2 linked regions of the Struthio camelus genome follow. The protein of the gene in region 1 interacts with the protein of each later gene in a pairwise test. Links are inferred from orthologs where the notes say so. Each region holds a gene or a part of one and is shown on either strand. Other genes may lie near its edges. The genes, in order: EXOC2 and RALB.

The links.
Region 2: the proteins of EXOC2 (region 1) and RALB interact in a two-hybrid assay, tested with the Homo sapiens proteins (2 studies listed by BioGRID). The link is inferred for Struthio camelus from reciprocal best matches to the Homo sapiens genes EXOC2 and RALB.

The regions. Positions count from the first base shown.
Region 1 is NC_090943.1:104,983,831-104,995,066, forward strand, and holds the start of EXOC2 (exocyst complex component 2), read right to left. Parts: upstream 5,197-11,236; 5' UTR 5,062-5,196; intron 1-5,061. UniProt on the Homo sapiens protein: Component of the exocyst complex involved in the docking of exocytic vesicles with fusion sites on the plasma membrane.
Region 2 is NC_090947.1:32,121,298-32,132,379, reverse strand, and holds the start of RALB (ras-related protein Ral-B), read right to left. Parts: upstream 4,158-11,082; 5' UTR 4,018-4,157; intron 1-4,017. UniProt on the Homo sapiens protein: Multifunctional GTPase involved in a variety of cellular processes including gene expression, cell migration, cell proliferation, oncogenic transformation and membrane trafficking.

The sequences.
Region 1 (11,236 bases):
TCCTGTATTTTCCACGCTCTCTCTCACATGCCCCTTTCTCAGCTCAGGAAAGCACTCAAGCCTTACACTATAGTATCTTTTCCCGTTCGTATTATCAAAAACATGTGCAAGTATTTCATTGTCTGACAGCCTGGGTGCACAGGTATTTTTCTACCATACTTCAGACTGCTTATAGCTTGCATAGTCTCAATCTTTATTTGCAGTCACCCACCTAAAATCCCATCTCCTGTATGGAATTACTGTGTTTCCAGAGTACTGAAGTTGTCTTGTGAGGAATGGAAGTTCCATAGCCTTCCATACTGATGAAAGGGAAACATGACAAAAATACATCATCTTTCTGTGTAGCTCCTTAGATTTTTGCCAAAAACACTTGTGTTCACTTTTCCAACAAGATGCAAGGGGTATATGTTGAAAACACGAGATTTGAAGTGTTACAAAATATAAAGTGTTCTAAAATATAAAATTTAAGGTTACTGCTTTTTTAATTGAGAATTCTGGGGATTATCTTTAAAAATTATATTTATCTGCAATACACATTTGAACAAGTGAACATTTAAAAAGGAACTTTTGCTTAACCTAACACTAAACATATAACTGCTAAAGACTTTTCAAAGCATATGGGGAACTTTCAAATACAGAGTACATTACTTTACACCGATGCACAAAGTGAAAGAAAAATTACAAAGTATAACAATATAAATGTTGGTATATTTAGACTTAGCTGATTCACAGAGACTTTTGCATTGCCAGAATCTCCTCCACTGGCTTCTGTGGAATACAGTCTAAAGTCTGCTTTTGAGAATTAAACTGGAAATCTGTAGTTCCCTTAAGGTCAAGGGAAAAATAGATCCATTAAGGGCTTGTTGTCTTAGAAGTTTTGTTTTCCTTAAAAACAAAACAAACAAACATGGAAAGGAAACACAGGATTTCACACCCATCTGTGAGTGCAATCCGAGTATTTTCTACTGAAAATGTCGAACTTAATGTCTGCATTGATTAGTTAACATTTCTTTTTTTAAAAAAGGCTACTGATCAATTTCCTTTTAAAGAAAAGGCACTAAATACTTTCTAAATAATATAAAAAGTAAACATAAAAATAATTTCTCCCTATACTCAAAATACACTGGAGAGAGAGAGATCTTCAGTTTAGTTTTCCTTAAAACATTAAATATTTAAGATTATTTTTCCTATTCCAAACTGCAACATACCAATCATGCAATTAATCCTTTTTTTACACGTTTATATAATTACTCAATTTTTTTTTTTGAAAAATCGCTTCAGGTTTCTTTTCTTAGAAGATCACAGAATGAGATTCTCCCTCCTGTCCTTTCCTCTTCCTCTAGAGTTTTGACACCAGGAGAACAAGTTGCAAACCAATTGCTTTTGAACTGAAGTACAGACACATAAGCAATAGGGAATAAATTCCAGATTAAGGTATAAAGACAATTTAGATCAGTTTTATCTCTGAATTGATACTTTGTGAGCTGTAAACACAGATTGTTGTGCATGCACTATCTAGTCATCCTTCATCCTACAAGCACCTTTGCAAACAAAATCTCCTTCACTGCCAAGCACCCTTTCCCTATTCTTAGAAAAAGCGATTTGAAACACAATGTTACACACCACAGATTTACAGAAAGTAGACAGTCTAAGACAAATCAAAGAAAAGCTGAAGAGTGAATGTCTTATTACTGCTGAAATATATTTACTTAGCTGTTCTTTCAGAAGATTTTGAACCTTCAGCTGACTTTTAAGTACACCAGCAGGTTCCACTCTTACTGAGAAGCTCTCAGAAATAAATGCAGCATTACACATGCATTCTTCTAAATGCTATTTTCGAGTCCTTCATTTTGAAATGAAGTACTACAAACTTCTTGTGTGGAATTTTTTTTTTTTTTTAAATGTACCTTTGTTTACATAACTAAGTAGTGACATACAGCCATTCAAAATACAAGCAGGTAATGTCCCTCAGACTTTCATAGGCCTGTTTTGTGCTGGAATACAAAACTGGACATTGTTTCATGTATTCTTTGAATAGCTGTCAGCATCCATGCTTTTAAAAACACCTTTTACATTCAGCTTTCTGTCACCATCCTATTGCAATTTCTATTTATTTATTTTTAATGAAGTAGATTCAGGGGTAAAGACCAGAAGGAATAGAATTAAAGTAACTCAAAATTGACGTTTATTTCCAAGTGTAGTGCTTAAGACGTACTGAATTTACAGCTAAATGAATAAATACATTGAAATAAATTAAAGTAAGGTTTAACACAACATACCTTAAAATTTTCACCACTAAGAGGCCGTGGACTCTGTGTTTCTAGTCTACCCACTTAATTGCTTTAGTTCAACTTCATTGGGAGGAGCAGCATAAGAACAAACTGCATTAATTATCAGTGGATACAGATCCTTTCTAATGGGACCTTGGGCAAACTATCAGTAGATTACATGTTATATCTTTATTGTCTGTTTTTGCCTCAAGAACTCTCAACAGCTACCAAAAAAAAAAAATGCTTCAGAATTGCAAGAAATCCTGCTACTCAAAATACTAAGATCTGAATGCTACAGATTCAAAATTATTCTGTGAACATTAGTTACCTCTTTTACTGAAAATGAACCAGTTTCCCCACGCGCACACAAAAACACTGCTCAAAGGACAAGGTGTTGAATTAGTTATTAAAGTTATTTCTTGCTGTTTAAGTTAATGACTTAGACTTAAAAGGAGTTTTTGATTGATTTTGAAAAATGTCCATTGCTTAGGCTATTTACTACGAATTTCTGATAAAGCAAATATAAAAGAATTAAGTGTCTGAACTAAGTCTCTGAAAAAGTGTGATTTACTGAACCAAGACCATGAAAACCCAAGACAACTCTACCTTACTGTATCAAAAAAAAAAAAAACACACACGTTTGATTGGTAACATGCTTTAATTAAATAGCTTCACCTCTGACACATACTAAAAAGACTAAATTTCCCATACAGAGGAAAAAAAACTTGGCATTACAATGTAAATTAGTGGCATTTTTACTGACATAAGTCACACTAGCATAAAGAAAGTAATCGCATCCTGTTTCATATGAATATTAAGACAACAAAAATCCCATATGAGTAAAAGCATCATTTTCCGAGGGCGGGCATAAACCACAAAAACTGTAAACTAAGCTATCCATGGGAAAGAACGCAGCAGCAGGGCACGCCTTTTGCTGCTTCTTGCTGGGTCAGTGCAAGTTGTGACAGATAGCAAGAATCAAACAGCTATTTTCTTCTTCACCTGAAGAAGAAAATAGACCTTTTTCCTAAGTCACAAAGTTGTTCATCTGCACTTTAGAGAAAAAAAAAAAAAAAAGAAGCCCTTTAACTATTCTGATGACTTTATCAAAAGCAAATTCAAACCAAAAGGTTTATAGTACTGAAACACACACAAATCATTACAGGAAGAAAAAAGTTTACTTATTTTAAGAATGATCAGAAAGTCAGGGAAGTTATAATAAGACTACTATTTTAAACTAAAATTTAAAGTGTGGATATTCATACTTTAGATTTAATATGATGGTCTGTCAGAGCTAAGATTGCTTAATACTTTATTGGCTTTCACTTCAAAGCTTTCTAGTATATAGTTAAAAACTGTTAATCTAACAAAGAGCAAGCAGTGAACCTGGAGAGAATGACAAGCTCTCCTTTGGAAACAGGGTCATTCCCGTGCTCAGACATCCATTCCCCCTGAAAAAATATCCTATTCAGCTTCCCAGTTAAAATATTGGAGAAGCAGGGAGGGAAGACGTTTGGTCACCAGCTCATAGACCCTTCTGGACTGCAATGCTGTCCAAGTGAGGGAGAAATTTACATCTGGGCAGAAAGGACAAAAAAAGAAAAAAAAAGGTCACAAAAAAATGTATCATGTGGAGGCAATGTATCACTACCAGTTAGTTATCAATGATAGTAATCATCTCTTAATCATTATATGCTATTTTGGTTTGTTCCAAACAAACTACATTATACTGTCTTCTTATTATATTTGCCTAATTGTGCATTTATTTCGGTAAGCAGTTTCTGAAAACTTGCCGTACCACTGAATGTGGATTTAAGAAATCAGACCCTCGAGTAACCAGCTCTTCAGGAGTCAGACCGTGCCCTCCCCTGCTTATTTCCTCTACTGCCCGTGCCCAACACGGTCACAATAATAATTTAAGGTCGTTCTAGACAAGTCTCAGTTCAGGGTATAACCAAGGCGGAACAGAAGCAACTTTACAGTGTTCCCGAGAGACCATTGTGAGGAATGAAACGGGTAAAACCCTCTACATGACACTCTGTCCGCAGGCTTTCAGGGCCTGTCCCACAAGCCCCCGAAAAGAGCTCCCTCACAAGCTCCCTCTCGGTATAGAGCCGAGACAGAGCACTACCTGGCTCGAGTGTAACCTCTCCCGGGCACCGTCCCCCACACAAACACCCAGCTGGGAGCAAGACACCGCGGGCGCACCCTCCCCTCCCGGAGGGGCCGCAAACGAGCCCGCATCTCCTTGCCCTGTCAGCGGTGCCCTGCCTCCCGTCAGCTGGCTGGGGGCAGGGCAGGGCAGGCGGGCTGCTGAAGCCGGGCAGTCACAGTTTCCCTCCCCCGCCAGGCGGCCCGGCCGTCCCCCTTCCCCCCGCCCAGGGCCGAGTCTCAGGCAGACAAGCCGGGGCGGACAGGTAGCGGCGGACCCCTGGGGCGGGGCGGAGCCAGCAGGTGCCTCGAGGGAGGCCTCAAAGCGCGAGACGGCAGAGAACAAACGACTCCTTCCACCTCCCCCCGCCCCGGCCCCAACGGCCGTTAACGGCACCTCCGTCCCCGCTCCCGAGGCAGGGGCGGGGCTTGGAACGCGGCACTCAACCCCGCCCGGCGGGCGCCAGCCCGACCCCCCCCCCTTTCCCCCGGGAGGGGAGGAAGGAGACGGGGCTGCCGACGGCAGGGCAACGGTCTCCGCCCCAGCGGGGGGAAGAAGCCGGAGCTGCCCCGCTGAGAGCCGGCTCCGCAGAGCCCAGCGGAAGCACAGGGGGGCGGGAGGCCACAGATTGTCACTCACCGGCCGCCGCCGCCGCTGCCGCCGAGTTTGTATCCGGCACCTGGGGCAGCTCCGCTCCCAGCAGCGCCTCCGCGTCCGGCAGACACAGGCACCTGCAGCCGCTGCCCGATAAAATCGATGGAACCCGGAGCAATCGAGGAGAAGCGGCCGCTCCCAACGGCCGTCGTGCTCCCAAGCCCCGCCCCCTTAAAGGCGCAGACCGTGGCGTCTGGCGGAGTCGGGCTGGTGGAGGGAGCCTTGGCTGCGGCCCCCCCCACATCCACCCACGCACCCCACACCGGCCCCCCGCACACCCCAAGCCCCCCACATCCACCCACGCACCCCACGCCGGCCCCCTACGCACCGCTTCACACCCCACACCTGCCCCCCCCACACCACTTCACACCCCACAGTTTCACAGCCCACACCTGCCGTCCTGCACACCCCAAACCCACCCCCCGCCGTGCTCCGCTTCACACCCCACACCTCCCTTCCCCTCACCCCCCCGCACACACTGGAAACAAGCAGCCAGCAAATAAAGGTGCCGTCGAGCACCAAGAGTTGGTCCTCTTGTGGAAAAGGAGGTGAAACAGAGTAATGAAAAAGCACAAAACGTAATAGAAGTAACAATAATAAAGATTTGGTTTTCCCCGAGCGCTGTATCGAGGTTGCAGCAAGCAGAAATTCTTCCAGAAGTGTGTGGAATTTGGGGACCTCCGTGTTTTTGGCATGAGATTCCGGGCCTGGGACTTTGGGGGCTGTTTGACTGTGTGCGGGAGGAAGGTGGGGAAGAAGAAACATGCGTGGGGGTGGAGAGCAGGGCAGTTGGTTGGTGGGGCGGTTGGTTTTCTTGCTTCTCTTGGTCGCCTCATGCCTGAGTTTTGTCTGTAAACTGCAGGTGTGGTCACGGCACGGAAAGGGATGGCCATGGTGCCTCCAGGGCTGGGGACCACTTGTGCCTGTGTCCAGATAAAAACGTCGGTATCAATTGCCTTTGGAGGCAAGTCCAGAGTCGAGGTGTAGCCGCGGGGTGACTTTTTGGTTTGCAAATATTCTTCTTCAGAAAATCACTTTAAAATTTATTAATAAAACAAAAAAAACCCCAAAGGATCTATCCCAGCCAGACCTAAAGTGGGCATTTCTGGCCTAACCTTGCTGTGTCTGACCCTTCTCCCATTACTCCCCAGATGAGTAGAGTCAGGCATACAGCTCTGTCAGACTTTGCGTATAGTTAAGTGCATAGCAGATCTAGCCCTGAGCTTATTTACAGCAACACTGCACTGCCTGCATGGTTCTTCTGAGTATAGTTTAAGTTGCTCAGTCTCTAAAATGCTGAATGGCCTGAGCTGGACAACAAGCTGGAATTTCCCTCCCCTTTAAATTTTATTTTGAGGTCAGGAGCGATAACAAGATTTTTCATCCGATCTGTCAGAAATATATATATATCCTCAGAACTGAAGGGGGGAAACCTGTAAAATTCTGCTTTAGGAGACTTATGGAAGCTTTTTTTCAGGTTATTCCTCTAATGGGCTGACCCCACCCCAGGCAGCGACTTTCTGGAACTACCGCAGTCTCCGCAGAGCTGGTCAGAAACAGGATACAGCTGCCGTGGATGCTGGGGAAGCCTGGGCTGTCTGGCAGCCAAGTGAGCAGGCAGGCAATGCTATCTGTTAGAGCTAAGTAATGCAAAAGAATCTTCATTTTGCAATGAAAAAAATTAGAATATTTTTAACTAAACCTGCTGTCTCCCCAAGACACCTCTGAACAGAGGCTCTTTTCCTTTTTGGGAAGGGACAGGAGGATTGTCCTTTTTCCATTTTTGCTAGGATTGTTTGGAATTCATCTGTAAAAACCCAGTTCAGATGGAGTCTAAGTGGAAAGGAGAGGGAAAACAGAAAGCAAACACAGAAGGAATAATCAGTTGCTCAGTTTCACTGACCTTGACCTAACATATACTTTGTGGGAAAATAAATTAACTTTCATAAAACCTCAAAGAACTTTCAAGAAGCATTATGGCCAAGAAAAGTTATTTCTCTGACTTTTTTTTCCAGAGGTGAGAGTTGCCCAAGCTACGTTACTAGGCTGTAATATCTCAGCACATGAACAAACAGTGCTTTTCTGACTCTTTCTTCTTGCTCGTTTAAGTCAGCACATAGCATCCATCTGGGGAACAATGAGAGTGTTTGGTACCTGTCCCTAATAATTTCCAAAGTTATTATTTGTGACTCAGCAGTTTTTTTGCAAATATGAGGTTAAGAAAAGTTGGCACAAAAAGTAAAGTTGGCATGACATTAAAAAAAAAAATCTATTTGCCACCCGTTTCAAAATGATGCTTTTCTTTCATGACATTCTGTTAGCATCATCTCATTAGAAGCTTGTCAGCAGATGTGCCAAATAAAACCACTAAATTGAAAGGTTTGGTTGATACAGAAGGCACCGTCTCATACTGTACACACTTGGGTCCTAGCCCTGCCAAATGCTTTCTGTGAGTGGATACCTGTGCCCAAAAAAGCCTGTTGACTTTAGTGGGGGTCCATAAAGGAGCTATCTGCGGAGAAGATTTTGCAATAAACAGCCCAGAATTTAGTAGCTCTCTTCCCTTCATTTTTAGAGGTTTAAACAAGCTTTTTCTCAGCTGCTGCTTGGCCATATTTTTGTTCAGATCTTTGTCCTGGTGAACCTGTCAGAACAGCACAACCCGAGTAAACTCAGCAACAACAGAAACCTTACCTATAGTATATGTAGGTTCATCTCAGGCATACACATACGCAAATTCTCCTACTGCCAACAGTGGCATCTAGGACTTTTATGATCTCCAGGGGGCCTGGATAAGGCAGCCGATGAGGAGCGCTCCTGTGTGCAGCGCTTCACTGAATCTACAGTGGGTATTTTTTTCCAGCTGATGTACAATGACCATGTGGTTACCATCACCTCCCCATTCAGTGTCTCCAAAACAAAGGTGACAGTAACTGACTATGGATTGGACCCAGTGGAGAAAATAAACCCTGCCTCACATATCTTCAGGACAAATGGAGGAAAATTAGTGCTCTTATTATATCCATTCATCCATCCATCCATATATGTATATATCTCATAAATATGAGAGATCATAATATGTAGTATATATATATGCTGTCGTGTATAATGCTGTTAATATAAATATATTACTCCATGGAACTCCAGGCACCATTAAAGAGATTAATCTATGCTATTAAAATTGAGGAAAGAAATGACAAGTTGTAACATAATGTCCTGGTAAATAGTAAGTGTATTATACCTCAAAGAGGTCAGAAAAGTAATTGCTCATCCATGCCTTTTGCTAATCCATTTATGCAGATTTGACAGTGATCTGCAAACAATACATCTCTTTACAAAGTTGGATAAACAGATTTGAAAGCCAAGAGGCATTATTGTGATCATCTTGTCTAACCTGAATATTAAAAGCTGTAGACATTCCTGCAGCCATTCCCAAACCAAGCTCTTCGTGTGGTTGTTTCTTAGACATCTACGTTTGATTTTAAAGAGTGGGAGAAATGGGAAATGCATCGCTGTATTTCCTGAGATTTAACAGTGATTAGTCACCCTAACATGAAAAAAATAATGGACACAAATATAAATTTTATTTGAAAGCTAAATTTGTCTAGCTTCAGCATCTGATTGTTGCATTTTTCTGCTCCTAGATTGCTTTTTGTTATCGGAAATGTCTTCCTTTTGAAGATACTTGTAAAATATAGTGGATTCACTCCTTCATCTTCTCTTGATAAACTATATGGATTCAATTTTGATTCCTTACTGTGTAACAGCCATTCCAGAGAAATGTTGTTTTCCTTCCCGTAGGCTTTCAAACTTACAGCTGTCACCCTTCTTTTCTTGACGTGGGAACATCAAAAACAGAACTCTCCATGCTTGTATTTGCTTTTGTGAGTTTAATATTATTAGTGAATTAGTGAAATCTAAGGAACAGAAAAAAGCTAAGGCTCATAAGGCTGAAAATGATATCGAGAAATCATCTTTTCTCGTCCTTTTCCTTACCGCAAGATAGGATCAACTATTCCTTTGTTATAGCATAAATGTTTTTTCAGTCTTGTTCTTAGAGACTTCTCAGTATGGTGCTTTTATCATCTCCTCAGGCAATATATTCCATTGCTTTACTACCCTTATCATTACGGGCATTTTTCCTAATGTGTAACCTGAATATTCCTTATTGCAATTTCAGTCTGTTGCTGATAGTTCTGTCTTCACTGGACTCAGACTGACTGTTTGCTTCCTCCCTGAACCAGCCTCTTACGTGTTTAAAGACTCTGTCCCCTCTACATTCTTTTCCTCTTTAGGCCAAACAGTCCCATTAGTCTCCTCATGTTTTATATTTTCTAGATTGGTAATCGAGCTTGATCTCTTCTGGACTCTTCTCCAATCATTCAATGTCATTCTGTAAATGCAATGCCCAAAGCCAAGTGTGCTCCAGGTGAAAAACATTTAAAAGAGAATTAGTTCCAGCTGAAGTCTCACCATTGGTGAGCAGAGCAAAACAATTGCTTTGCACATTTGGCAGGCTATCTTCCTGTTCCTACATGCTTTTACGGCATTTGCCTTTTGACAACAGCATAACAATGTTGACTCGTGTTTGGCCTGTGATTCACTCTACATCTTTTTCTATGCAACTGTAACCATGTTTACTTTTTCCCTTCCTGTTTCTGGGGAATGGATGATTCTGTGTGCAATATACTACGCTTGCACCTATCGAGTACTGTCTTCTTTGGCTTTATTTAAACAAATTCTCTAGTTTGTCAAAATCACTCTTAATTCTAATTCTCTTCTCTAATACACTATTAGCTGCTCTCTTCTTCATGTCCTCTGCAACTGTAACAAGCTTAATTTCTTCTATTATTCAGATGTTTAATAAGCAGCATCAGATTCAGGATAGACCCTGCAGGAAAATCTTTCACTATCTCTTTCCATTTTGATAGTGTACCGTTTTGCTAACTCTTCCCCAACTATTCTTTTTCCAATCCTGTCGGATTTTCAACCCAGAACATACATGTCTTTTCTTACATTTGGGAAACATTCACAAATGCCTTACTAGAATGAAGATACCTGACATTTTCCTACTTCTTCCCTGTGTACAACACCTATTACCTTATTGTAAAAGGAAATCCGATTGGTTTGACAGAAGTTGTTTGTGACAAATCCATGTCACGTTTTCTTCTAACACTAACAGATTGTTTGCGCGATTATTTCTGCAGACTGAGGTTATACGATCTATAATTCTCTAGCTCCTCCTTTTTTTCTATGTGTACGTAATTTTAAACCTGATTGAAATCAACAGGGCTAGTTCCACGCCAACGAGTGGTGTCTTCTGAACCAGAGGTCAGTAACTTGCCAAAGTTATGGTAGTAGAACCAGGAGCAGAGCCAAGAAGCCCAACCCTTCTTTACCTGCTGTAGGAAATCTATAATCATTGCACAAGGTTTCTTCACTTTGCTGTTTCTACTTTGCTTTTTTTTCCCCCTTGATCCATAGACGGAACATTCTTGCAGATGTTGGCTTTTAGCAGTTGCCGTATATTTTATGCAAAATTCATACAAATATTCCCAAGTCCAGGCATATTTCCTGTGTTGCATTTAATACCCAAGGCCAGCTGCTTTCTGCTTCCTCCTAATTGAAAATCACCTGGATATATGTTCTGAAACCAACATCCAGGAAGTGAGCTACTTAAATTTTATGCTTTTATTTCTTTTTTAAATAAATAGGTCCAGAAGTAAATTCTTTTTGGCATTTTAACCTTGGCAGCATTTTGACCATTATCTAGGATTTTAAGCCAGAAGTCCTCATTATGAAGTGAAATATATTTATCTTAGCTGGAAGGCGAGAGAGAGAGAAACAACTTACTGATCAGTGTTTGCCCCCAGATGATTTCTGGCATGCTTTAAGAGAAACAAAATATAAATTAATGCACATAACATTTTGAGTTTTCCTCCAGAACACATACAGTCAGATTTTCCACATCAAACAAAAAATATAGTCTTTTACATTTTAAACCGTCTCCAACAGTACACAAAATTCTCTCTCTGTTTTACTTTCTTGGCTAACACCACCCTAATTCTTCCCTTTCAAGGCCTATCCAAGGAATCTGTGCACTACTGACCCAGAGGCACTGTTTCTCTAAACAGCACCAATGAAATAAATTATTAATTTA
Region 2 (11,082 bases), on another chromosome or scaffold:
GTTAGTTTCGAACAGACACACAGACCACAGAGTATTGTTTCTATTCCTAAACTGGAAGAGAACAGCTAGACACATCTATAATTTCAAACCTTGTGTTTCACAAATATTACCTACTGTGCAATTAACATTTGCAGCTCCTCAAACATTATTACCGTTGCTCACATTTGGTGGGTTAGTCATAGGAGCTATAGATAAAAGGGGACATGAGTGAATAGTCACAGAAATATTTTCAGTTATTTGTAGTGCTTTGATTTGGTTTCAAAGTCTGTAAGAGTCACGGAAATCTTTTCTTCTGCCCACTTTGTGCCGGACAATTCATGTGTGGTTTTCAGCAACTCCCTTGTGAGGCAGCACCTCTAAGCCCTGGCAGGCACAGACGCGCTTTCTGAAGTCGGTGAGAAAAGCACCTTTGTCTCTAACCGAAACCGAAAGAGAAGCTGGAGCAGAACTCTGACCAATGACAGTTGACTACTGATGACCGATCCGTAGTGACAAGCGTAAAATATGCTCACAGTTAAAGAGAAGATAGACCCAAAAGGAAAACACCATGGTAAATTAGGAGCATTGACCTTGGGGAGGAGACAGAATGGCCTTCCTGGAGCTTCTCTTGTTGGCTTCTTACCTTGCACCTTCAGCCTAACCCTCAATTTAGCAGGCTAAATGTGTCTCTCCTGTTTCTTTACAAATACAACATGTTAAAGTGCTTTTGAGTTGCTGCCATATAGCATGCCAAAACTTATCGACTGATTTCACCACTTAGGAGCGCAATTTGCATTCAGCAATGAAATAGTTGAATTTTTAAGGTATTTTGTTGTTAACTTGCAATTAAGATGGCAGGCTGCTTGCCCAGCAATGTCCTACGCATTATATATGGCAAAAGTTCTTATAAAAATCTAGGAGCTGGCCACAGTCTTGTGCTGCTTGTCTTGCACATGCCAGAAATATTGTATGATACTAAGCACTGGATGAGCTTGCATAACAGACAGCTGTGTCTATACTCAGGTTTAATAGGGAGCAAGGCACAGCAATATTATTCCTCCATTCCCTTTCCTGACTCTCTCTCTCTCTCTTTTGCCTACATAAATATTTTCTGGTCCTATACAGAAAAGAAGTGGGTACCCACTACCAAACAGGTAAGATAGCGAGGACTGGAAAAAGCTATCTATGTCACAGCAGCACAAACAAATATGTGGACTATGCTCAGCAAAGCTATAAAGCTTTTGTTATATATTATCTTGTTATATACTTTCTTGTTATACCATTGGCCTGGTATATTAGGCATACCATTAGCCTGAACCCAGATACTATTCACTTAAACATATTTTTAAGGATTGTATCCCTTTTTGTACTGGTTTATTCAGAGATGACACAGCACGTAGTTCAGAACTGCACATCTAAGCAGATACTGCTTGAGATGCAATTGCTCTTCTGCGCTTCAGGCTACGTTTTCATTTAGTCATGACGGCATATCCAACAGTTTATATCTTTTGCTTTCTGCTGGGCAATAACTTTACTATGCTCCATTTATTAAAGTGGTGGATATCGCTTTGTGGAACTGCTGTTGAGAATGTGCTAAAAGGCATTGCTACATTGAAAGCAAAGAGACTGCTGTCAGTTTTGTGTTCCTTGTTTTTTAGCGGAGATGTGTTTAAGAGTACTTTTAAAGTTCAATATTATTGTAAACAGAATTTGTCCAGCTATAACCTGAAGCTACATCTGAGCAAGAAAGACTAAAAATGTCCTAACCAAAGATAGCAAGCGCTTTAGCTGCTTAAGAGAATTATAACGTAACAATCCCCTGTGCAACTGGGAACAATTATTTTAGTCATTTAAGAAGTTCTCTCAACTTCAGAGTTAAGTCTGGCTCGATGATTAAAATACAGGGCAAGGAACCAGGAGGCATAAGCTGGTTCCATTTTCAGCTTTAGCACTGTGACTCACTGTGTGATATTAAGTCATTTAATTTAACTGTCTCACTCTCTGTCTCACCTGTAAAATGAGGGAACCCACCTCACAAGTTCTGTGTGAGATTAATTAATTAAACATTTGCTGCTCACCTAAAAGTTCTTGGATGGAAGGTGGCAGAAAATTTATTATTAAACACATATGTAAACAGGATACAAGAGCAGAGCTGGGCAGTTTCTATAAAGGAAACGCACATCTCTTTCATCTGTGAATTTTTTAACCATGACAACAAAATAATTAACTACAGAAAAACCTGCCGGTGAAGCCCTTGACGAGAGTTTATAAATTGGAAAAACGTATAGCCACAAACGAGACACTGACTAAACTATAACTAACAGTAAAAATAAATGGTCATTCTTTAGTAGGGCACATAGTTCAAAGACTAAGGTAAACGTTCCCTGTTATGATCCATGAGCACATTTACCTCTAAGGGGAATGAAAAGCAGCGCTTGGTTGACATGCATCTTTATCAGGAGGCTCTAGTAGAAGTCACTGTCGGAGGCAGACTTCGGCAGTAGATGGGCTAATTATCGCGCCGAGTACAAAACTCTCAACTTTACTTAAACTAGGCAAGCAGCTCACTAGCCCATTTTTAGTATCTTTCCACTCTTACAATAACCACGTTGCAGGAAATGGCAGGAAATTAACTCTGTCAGCAATAGAAGAGGGTCCAGCAGCCTTTAAATTGAAGGTGATTCTCCACCGTACATTTCTTTACTGGAAAGCTCACAATACGGCTAAAATAATGAAAAGCAACTAACGTTGTTGTGTCAATGAGATGATCAAAACCACAGTGAGCAAACAAAAAAATGGATAAAGTAGCGTGATCAATGACATGTTCAAGGGCGACACGTTCCCTGTATGGCTTGCTTGTATCACCAAAGACTGTCTGGGGAAAAGGCACAACAGATTGGCACTTTTCCGAAGCCAGTTATTGTTATCTTATTTATTCACAAAAACAGCACTAGAGCTTTCTGTTGGTTCCACTCAAAACAGAGCGAGGCCTTCATGTAAAGTGCGATCCCTACTTTGTTTCACAAACCTTTTACAAACCTTTGGAGTGAAGTTGGTGTGTGTTACTCTACGACAGCAGTGTTCACAGGAAAAACCCAAGGCTTCTATCCCTTTAAGAGCAACTTTCTATCTGAATACATAACTTCTACAATATAATTTGGTAGATATACATGCAGATGGATTATTCACTTTAATTATAACATTCTTTATGCTGTGAATTCTGGAACATTATACTATTAAGCTATTTACATTTCACAAATATAACTATAAATATATAGTTTGTGTAACTAGTTTCTACTAAGTTAGCATTGCAGAGACATCGAAGATAAAAATTTAGACCCTCCCTCAGAATGGCAGAGACTTTACATTTAGCCCTTCTTTCATTCTGTGTTACAGAGCTAAAAGGCTAAGATGGAAAAGCACAGAAATAACAACAAGAACAACGACAAAAAGATTATGCAGTTATACTAAAAAGAGCCAATGACTCACTGTTAATATGTTTACTTGGCCTGTATGGCTTAGGGATGAGCAGGGATTACTACAGGAAACTAGCTCTTCTATTCTCTTTTTTTTGTTGTTGTTTATTACTAGCTAGCACTACTGCATTCATGAAGTCAAACATAATTAAGAATAAACAAGAGATACGTGTCATATAGCGTTAATACAATGCCACGTGCTCACTCAGGGCTGCTTGCGTGTACATTTAGCAGTTGTTTTTTCCTGTCTGTCCACAGCGAATGCTATATTGCCTTGCCGAGTAAATGCACCTTGTACCCCTCCTGCAACTAGCACCTACCCATAGTCCAGTCTTGGCACCCTGGGAGCCTCCTCCATTGCTCTATCCTGTTTGCTCACCCCAGGTGGGCCAGGAATCGCCTTTCTCTTCTCACTTCAGTGATGGGAAATAAAAGTGTGTTCTCCTTTCACTTGCCTTTGCGTCCTTAACTACGCCCGTACATAAATAGATACGCGCATGATCTTCCCCTGATGCAACTCGACAAGCTGGACTGACTGTTTGCTTTCTTAGCTGATACTCACTGTGCTTGGCGGGGTCGTCGGTCCTAGAGCAGCTCTTTCTTTGGGAGCGGGAACAAGGCAGGCAGAGGCAGCTCCACAACACTGCTCCACACCAGTTCACAGGATGACTGTGGCTGGACTCCTCCTAGTGCCTCAGAAAGCTGCAAGAAAAGGGAAGGGCTCAGGATATGATATCATGTGCTCATTCTGAAAACAAGGAAACTGTCGGAGATGATTGAAAAAGTAACAGCTTCAAAAATTCCTGAATGGCTGATGTCAGAAAAGTACTTTTCTGCTTCCCCCTCCCTGCCCTCTAATGAAAAGTTACAATAAATTCAAATGACAAACTTAGAAAACAATATTTACACTGCTACTAGGACTAGCCTAAAAGATGCATTACGGCTGAGCAACCTCAGAGCGCAGTTTACTGCTCTATGTCACTGTTCGTTGTCTGTGCTTATGTCTGATCTTAGGCTTTGATTTTGTTCCTGGAGCTATTCAGGCATATATTCCTGCCAGCCCCCAGCAATGTTGCCCCTCTGTAGCCGCTGTTGGGTTCGACCACAAGGACCCATGCGTAGCCATTCCTTGGCAGTACCCTGACCTGTTTATTGCCTTTCGCAGTGGAAGTAAAACCTTTATAAAGCACCCAAGTGGCTTGGGAATCTCGTTAAGATTTTTCTAAAGCAACGTAAGCAAATAGGCTTGTAAATCTCACTGAAAATCACTGTGGTTTTGCTAGGGCAAATTTTATCCCCTAGATCCCTTTCTAATTTAAAGCCTACTTTAGAAAAAATAACCCATTTACAATGCTATATCATTACAAATCTATTTCCCAAATCATCATTTATAGCCCTTAAAAAAGAAAAAAAAAACATTTTGAAGCAAAGCACATGTTCTAACTCAGCACAATTGTTCTTAACCTGGATTTAGCTTTGAAGTTTGCTGTTTCTATTTCAGATCCAAAGAAGCACCTGCATGCCTGGAAGCTCATCTGTTCTTTCCAGCTTTATCAATAGGTCTAATAAGTCACTCATTTTTTCTCTCAAATTGTCAGGATATTTTTGTTTTTGTTATGATCTCATAATACACTCTCAGCGGAAAATTTAGTACAGCCTTCGAGCACATAACATTTTTATGTTGTGTTTGGAATTGCTAAATTCTGTTATTGCTTTGTGCTTGCCTTTCCAATTTTTTTTTTGTGTTAATTTTTTTTTTTTAATGCAATTCATCTCAGATTCAGCATGAAGCCACCCATGAGTTTAGGACAGAGTGATATACTAGAGGTCACTATCATTTTCAAGCGCCTGTATTGGTTTTTGGTTTAAATACAAGCTTGGACTGGGGGAACCTTATCATACTAAAGCAGTTTAGTGATTGGGCTTTGCACGTTTCACTATTTGTCAGCCCAGCCCTTTCTACTGAGCTGTGCAAGAGGGTGTCGCTCTCTCAGTTCTGTTGTTTGAACAGAAATGTTTTGGTGCCAGGTTTCTTGTTCTGTTTGTGCCCTTTGCTAGCGGACTTTCAATTTCAGGAACTTGTTTTAGTGGAAGAACTATACTTAATAGTTATTAAACAACTGTTGGTATTATCAATACTTGTTCATCTAATGGTGATATGTCCCCTAAATAAACCTTCGAAAAGCACTAGTAGTAAAATCAACTGAAAGACACAAACATTTTGTTCCTAAAGATTCTAGGGACCTTTCCAATTATTTGTAGGTCAGAATCAAGTATTAATCATCCTTAGTTGCTCTTGGCAGTAAAGGCTAGTGCTATCTTAGATTGGGCAAACAATAAATTGTGGGTGAGGTTGAGGAGTTTGAATCAAGATCAGTAAGTACATTCGCTTTTGTAGAATTCGAGGGTTCTCCTGTCAAAAATTGGAATACATTTCTGTTCCTGTTGATTTTTAGTAGGATTGTAAACCCTGCACGTACCCTTACCCAGTAGATGATAGGTTTCAGAAGACACCCCAAAACAGTCTAGACTTGTCACAGGTCTGGGTTCAGTTTGGACATTTCAGATTTCTGGTCATTTGTCAGGTATCTACACAGTAAAACTCCAACTATAATTGGTTGTGTGTGTGTGTGTGTGTGTGTGTGTGTGTGTGTGTGTTGTCTATACTCTTAAATGCTCAGAGGACGATGGAGCTGGAACTGCTGCTTGCAATGAAGGGGGCAGAGGTACTGCTGGTCTGTTCTCACTCCTCTCCTGCCCCACAGGATGACTCTACAGCAAGGTTCTGGCTGCGCCACCTTAGTCATTACTCCGCCTGAGCTCTGCAGAGGTGGAGGTGCTGCCTGCATCCTGTTCCCATCTCAATCTGCAGGAAATAACATAGGTAGTATCTCAGCATAGTCTCTTTGAGGATATTTTGAAGAGAAGATACACATTAGTAATCAGCCTTGAGTCTGGACAGGTGAAGGAAGCCTAGAGTAACCACAAACATTGAGTCTGTCCTTGATTCTTTACTGATTTTACGTCCATCTGACTCCTTGGATTACCTCAGTGCAAGCAAGATGAGAAGCAGACTAATTGTGCACAATTCTAGTTTGTTTGCCTTGTATTCCTTTTTTTCTTGTCAGAAGACCATCTTTCTTTCTCTTGTATTCTTGTGTGTTTCCTCTTCTCCCTATTTTCCTTCAAGACTTAATTATAATTACAGAATCATAAATAATTTTGGTTAGAAGGAACCTTTGGAGATCATCTGGTCCAATCCCCACTTGAAACAGGGCTAACTTCAATGTTAGGTCAGTTTGCCCAGGGCCTTGTCAAGCCCAGGTCTGAATAATCTCCAAGGCTGGAGATTCCCCAGTCTCACTGGGCAACCTATTGAAGGGTTTGGCCACCCTCACTGTGAAGAGATTTTTTCTGTATATTTACCTTGAATTTCTCTTGCTGCAATTGTGTGTGTTGCTTTTCAGCCTTTCACTGTGCAACTCTGAGAATAGTCTGGCTCCATCCACTAAGCAGTAGAAGGCAATAATTATATGCCTCCTCAGCCTTCTCTTCTTCAGGCTGATCAAAGACAGCTCTCAGCTATGTCAGATGCTCTAGACACATAACCATCTTGGAGGCCCTCCGCTGGACTTGTTCCAATTTGTCAATCTCTCTTGTACTGAAGAGCTCAAAACTGGACATAGTTCTCCAGATATCATCTCACAAATGCTAAATAGAAAGGAATAATCACTTCACTCAACCACTTGACTGTACTCTTAGTAATTCAGCCTAGTAAACAGTCTTCATCACCACAAGGGCATGCTGTTGACTAGTGTTCAGTTTGTGGCCCATCAGAAACCCCAGATGCCTTTTTGCAGAAAAAAGTTTCTATTTTGCTAGTTGGCCCTGGCCTATTGCATGGGGTTATTCTGTTGATGGTGCAGGACATTGCATTTGCCCTTCATGAGATTTCTGACAACTCCTTTCTTCAGCCTGTCAAGATCCTTCTGAACAGCAGCCTTGCACTCCAGCACGTTGACTGTTCTCTCAATTTGGTGGTCATCTGTGAACTTGCTGAGTTCCTAAGTAGTGCCTGTGCTGGTTCTTGAATTACCACTGGACTTTAATGTAACAGGTTTATCAGAAATTCTAAGTGCTCATTGCTGTATGTTGTGAGACCTTGTACCATATGAACGGTGCTGTCTAATTTAATGTTTTGCAGTGTTATTATTTATATAGGTGATAGAAATGTGAGCAGATGCTTCTTAGAACTCAGCATTTTGATGCCAGTCCATGCAAAGGGTAACTCGCCTTCCTCTGTAAACATACAAGACTGTGGATGTTTCCCCGTGTTAACATATGGTATCTGGTAGACAGCCTGGATGGGGAGGTAGTTTGATGCTTGGGAAGGAAGTTGGAGGGAACCACAATAGGTGGAATGAGGAAAAACTGAGACTGTAGTGTTATAGACGGCAGTAGGAGAGAGAGCGGTGAGTAGCAGGAAAAGGGATCATGGCAGGGAAGGAAAGAAGAAAGGGATGCTTTCAGGCCAAGGAAGGTGGTGTGTGGGAGGATAACTTGGATGACCAGAAGGCAGCAGGACCATAATTAAAATGGTCACCACCTCCAGATTTGGGTACCTCTTACATCCCTAAATAAATCTTCAACCTTGTGCCATAGCTAAAAATACCTTGGCAGTGCTGGCAAGAAGTTGATTACAGGAGCCTGCAGATCATTCTGCTTTCTTAGGTTCCTTGTGCAATTTCAGTCGGATAGTACAGATCACATTTAAAATACTGCAAATATTTTGGTCTGCAGTTGTGTTCTTTTCCAAAGAAAGTTGCAAGTGGCACAGATCCTGCAGCATACAAACACAGACACACATGATATTTATACTGATGCATACATATATATATTTAAACTCAGTTTAGATCACCGTTAACTCTCAAAGATCCCTGGACTGAAAGGTGCTTTATAAACATATGCTAAGATTGTTACTCACGATAGCACTGAGGAGTTGGAGCAATCATTAGAAATTTTAACAATGAGCACTAGGAAGCGTAAATCATTTACCAGCATTAATAAAAAAGAAAAGAAAATAAACTAGAGAAGAATTACTTTTCCTTTGGTGATTATTTCATTGCTCAGAACAAAAATCAGTGCGACTGTTAAAATGCTTTCAGGTGTCCTAAAGCACTGCTGTCCTAAAGTACTGCTTTTTGCAGTAGCAGAAAGCAAAGTGGAATATGGATATCTGAAAAGAGGGAAACAGACTTAGACAAGGGTGAGATGAGTTTGTATTCCTAGGAACTGAAGTCTAGGTGGTTTAGAATGGAATGGGAAAATATTACAGAAATCATGCTTAGTGACGTAAACATGTTAACTGATTAATTCTCACAGTAACCTTGGGAATTAGGGAACGTTTATGCCTTTTTGACAGATGGAGAAACACGGACACAAAAGGCTAAGTTCATACCAAGATCTTTGCCAGCTTCTCTCAAGCAGCTTGCAAGGCAGAAGATCCTTCCCTGCAGAAAGCCTACAGCTACGGATACTTCTCCAGGTTTCCCTCTGTTTCTATGGGAGAACAGAGAGGGTCGAAGTTGTTCCAGCTCTGCAACAGACTTAGGTGTGACGGATGTCAGGTGCTGAATCCCTGCTCTCCCATTTACCCTTTCCACTAATGGTCTGTGCAAGAAATGTCCCAGCCTGTCTTCAACACACACTCTCTTTTCTCCTAGTCCTGAGTCGATACAGGAGTGCTAAGTTGTCTTAGATATTTTCACAAGGGAAATTATCCAGTCTAAATCTCATGTAACTCTATGTTCATTTTGAATTGTCCTAATTAATCAGTAAAGTGGTAATGTGGTAACCAGAACTCACAATGGCTAAAGGTAAGTAGAGACTAAAGAAGTCGTTACCTTCCCATTCAATAAGCATTCATTAAAATTAAAATACCAAACTGCTGCTTTTTCTTCAATTCTTCTAACTAACCACACCTGCTAATTCATATGGTCAGCTCTGCCTTGTCTTTGCCCTGCTTTCCCAAAGTCTCTCAAAATAGAAAGACTCGATTATTTGCCAGCTAAAACAAACGCAGTTCATTTTCCACTAATATTGGTAAACGCAATTCAAATGCTGTCAGCCTTAGCTGTTTGGAGTGTCTGTGTTCACCTCCTAAATAGCACATTTGCAAGAGGCCCAGACAGAAAAATGTCTCTGGAAGCTCTCTTCACTGTGACTTCTCTCTATGACGAAATATTGTTGAAACAAATCTGGAGACAAACGGGACCTCAGCACTTTAACTTTGTGCATTCTAGTGCACCTAGAATGTTAGGAGTTTTAAACCTATGAAATCTGTCACAAAAAAACAAGGCTGCTAACACCTCTGGCTAAAGGAAAACCTTCATTAATCTTAACAGTCGAGGGACTACTCAGTATGTTCACTACTCATTAACACCATGGAGTTTATAAAGTCCCTGCTTCCAGTTTGCCGTGATGAAGCACTAAACTTGCTTAGTTCAAACCCACACAACATCAGCCTGAACTGCTGGACACAATCTTTGTGTCCCAAAATCCCAAGACCATCTGAGCAGTGTACAGATTACTGTTCCCACATCAGTTCAAAAGCACTCACGTGAGCTGAGAATCTCGAACTGAACCTCAGCTTCGGTCACGGACCTGAAACTCGAATGCCAGAATGCGAGAACCCTCCACTTGCTTGTTCCTGTTTTAATTTCACCAAGCCCTACAAGCTTCTAGTTTAACCCATTCAGGGGAAAAGGGGAGGAAGACAAAAACTACCTGTTCAGCAAAAGATTTTCTTTGTCATCACTTCCTCACTCTTACAACACCTCTAGAGGTACAGATCTTTGGAAAATAAGAAGTGATCCGTATTTGCTCAGTCTGATCTCATCTTACAGCTTCCAGGTTTTATCAGCATTTCAGGTGAGACAGTGCCTCATGCTGCTCTCACCAGCCAGTTTTTCCTAACATTTGACAATGATCTGCCCTCATCTGCAGAGAAGTCTCTCTCTTTATATGCAGGCTGCCTCTTTTGGTCAAATGCTCCAGCCAAAAAACTATAGCTCCTTCTGGTAAAGAATCAGTTGTTTTGGGGTTTTGTAAGGCAGTAGTGAGAGACACTCAGAGATGATAGCCCTCGACTGCTGCGTGCTGGCCTCTCAATTTTAATTACTGCAGGCGATGTCAAGAACTATCCCTGGACTGAGCAGCATAAGAGACTGCCATAGTCAAGGTCAGTCTTTCAGTGCTGAATACAAAAAGGCAAAATGGAAAACCTAGTGCAAGCATAGACTCCCCATATGAAAAGAGCTTACAATTTGATGCAGGTGTTCTCGCTTCTACACTGTGCATCTCACCTTTGTAACAAAAAAACTATTTGAGTGCCAAATGGTTACTGGCTAGGATAGGAAGGAAGGAAAGGGAGAAAAACATGACTCACAGTGGGTTACTTGTTAAAGAAACTCCTTATTTAAATATTAAAATAGGACAAGTATTGCAGGGAAAGGAAAGTTCTCCATTTAACTGCTGTTTGCAGTTATTCTTAGTCATTGCAAGTTATCAGCAAACACCTGGTATAATTAATCACACCCTGAATTACCATGCAGAAAGTACACTTGTT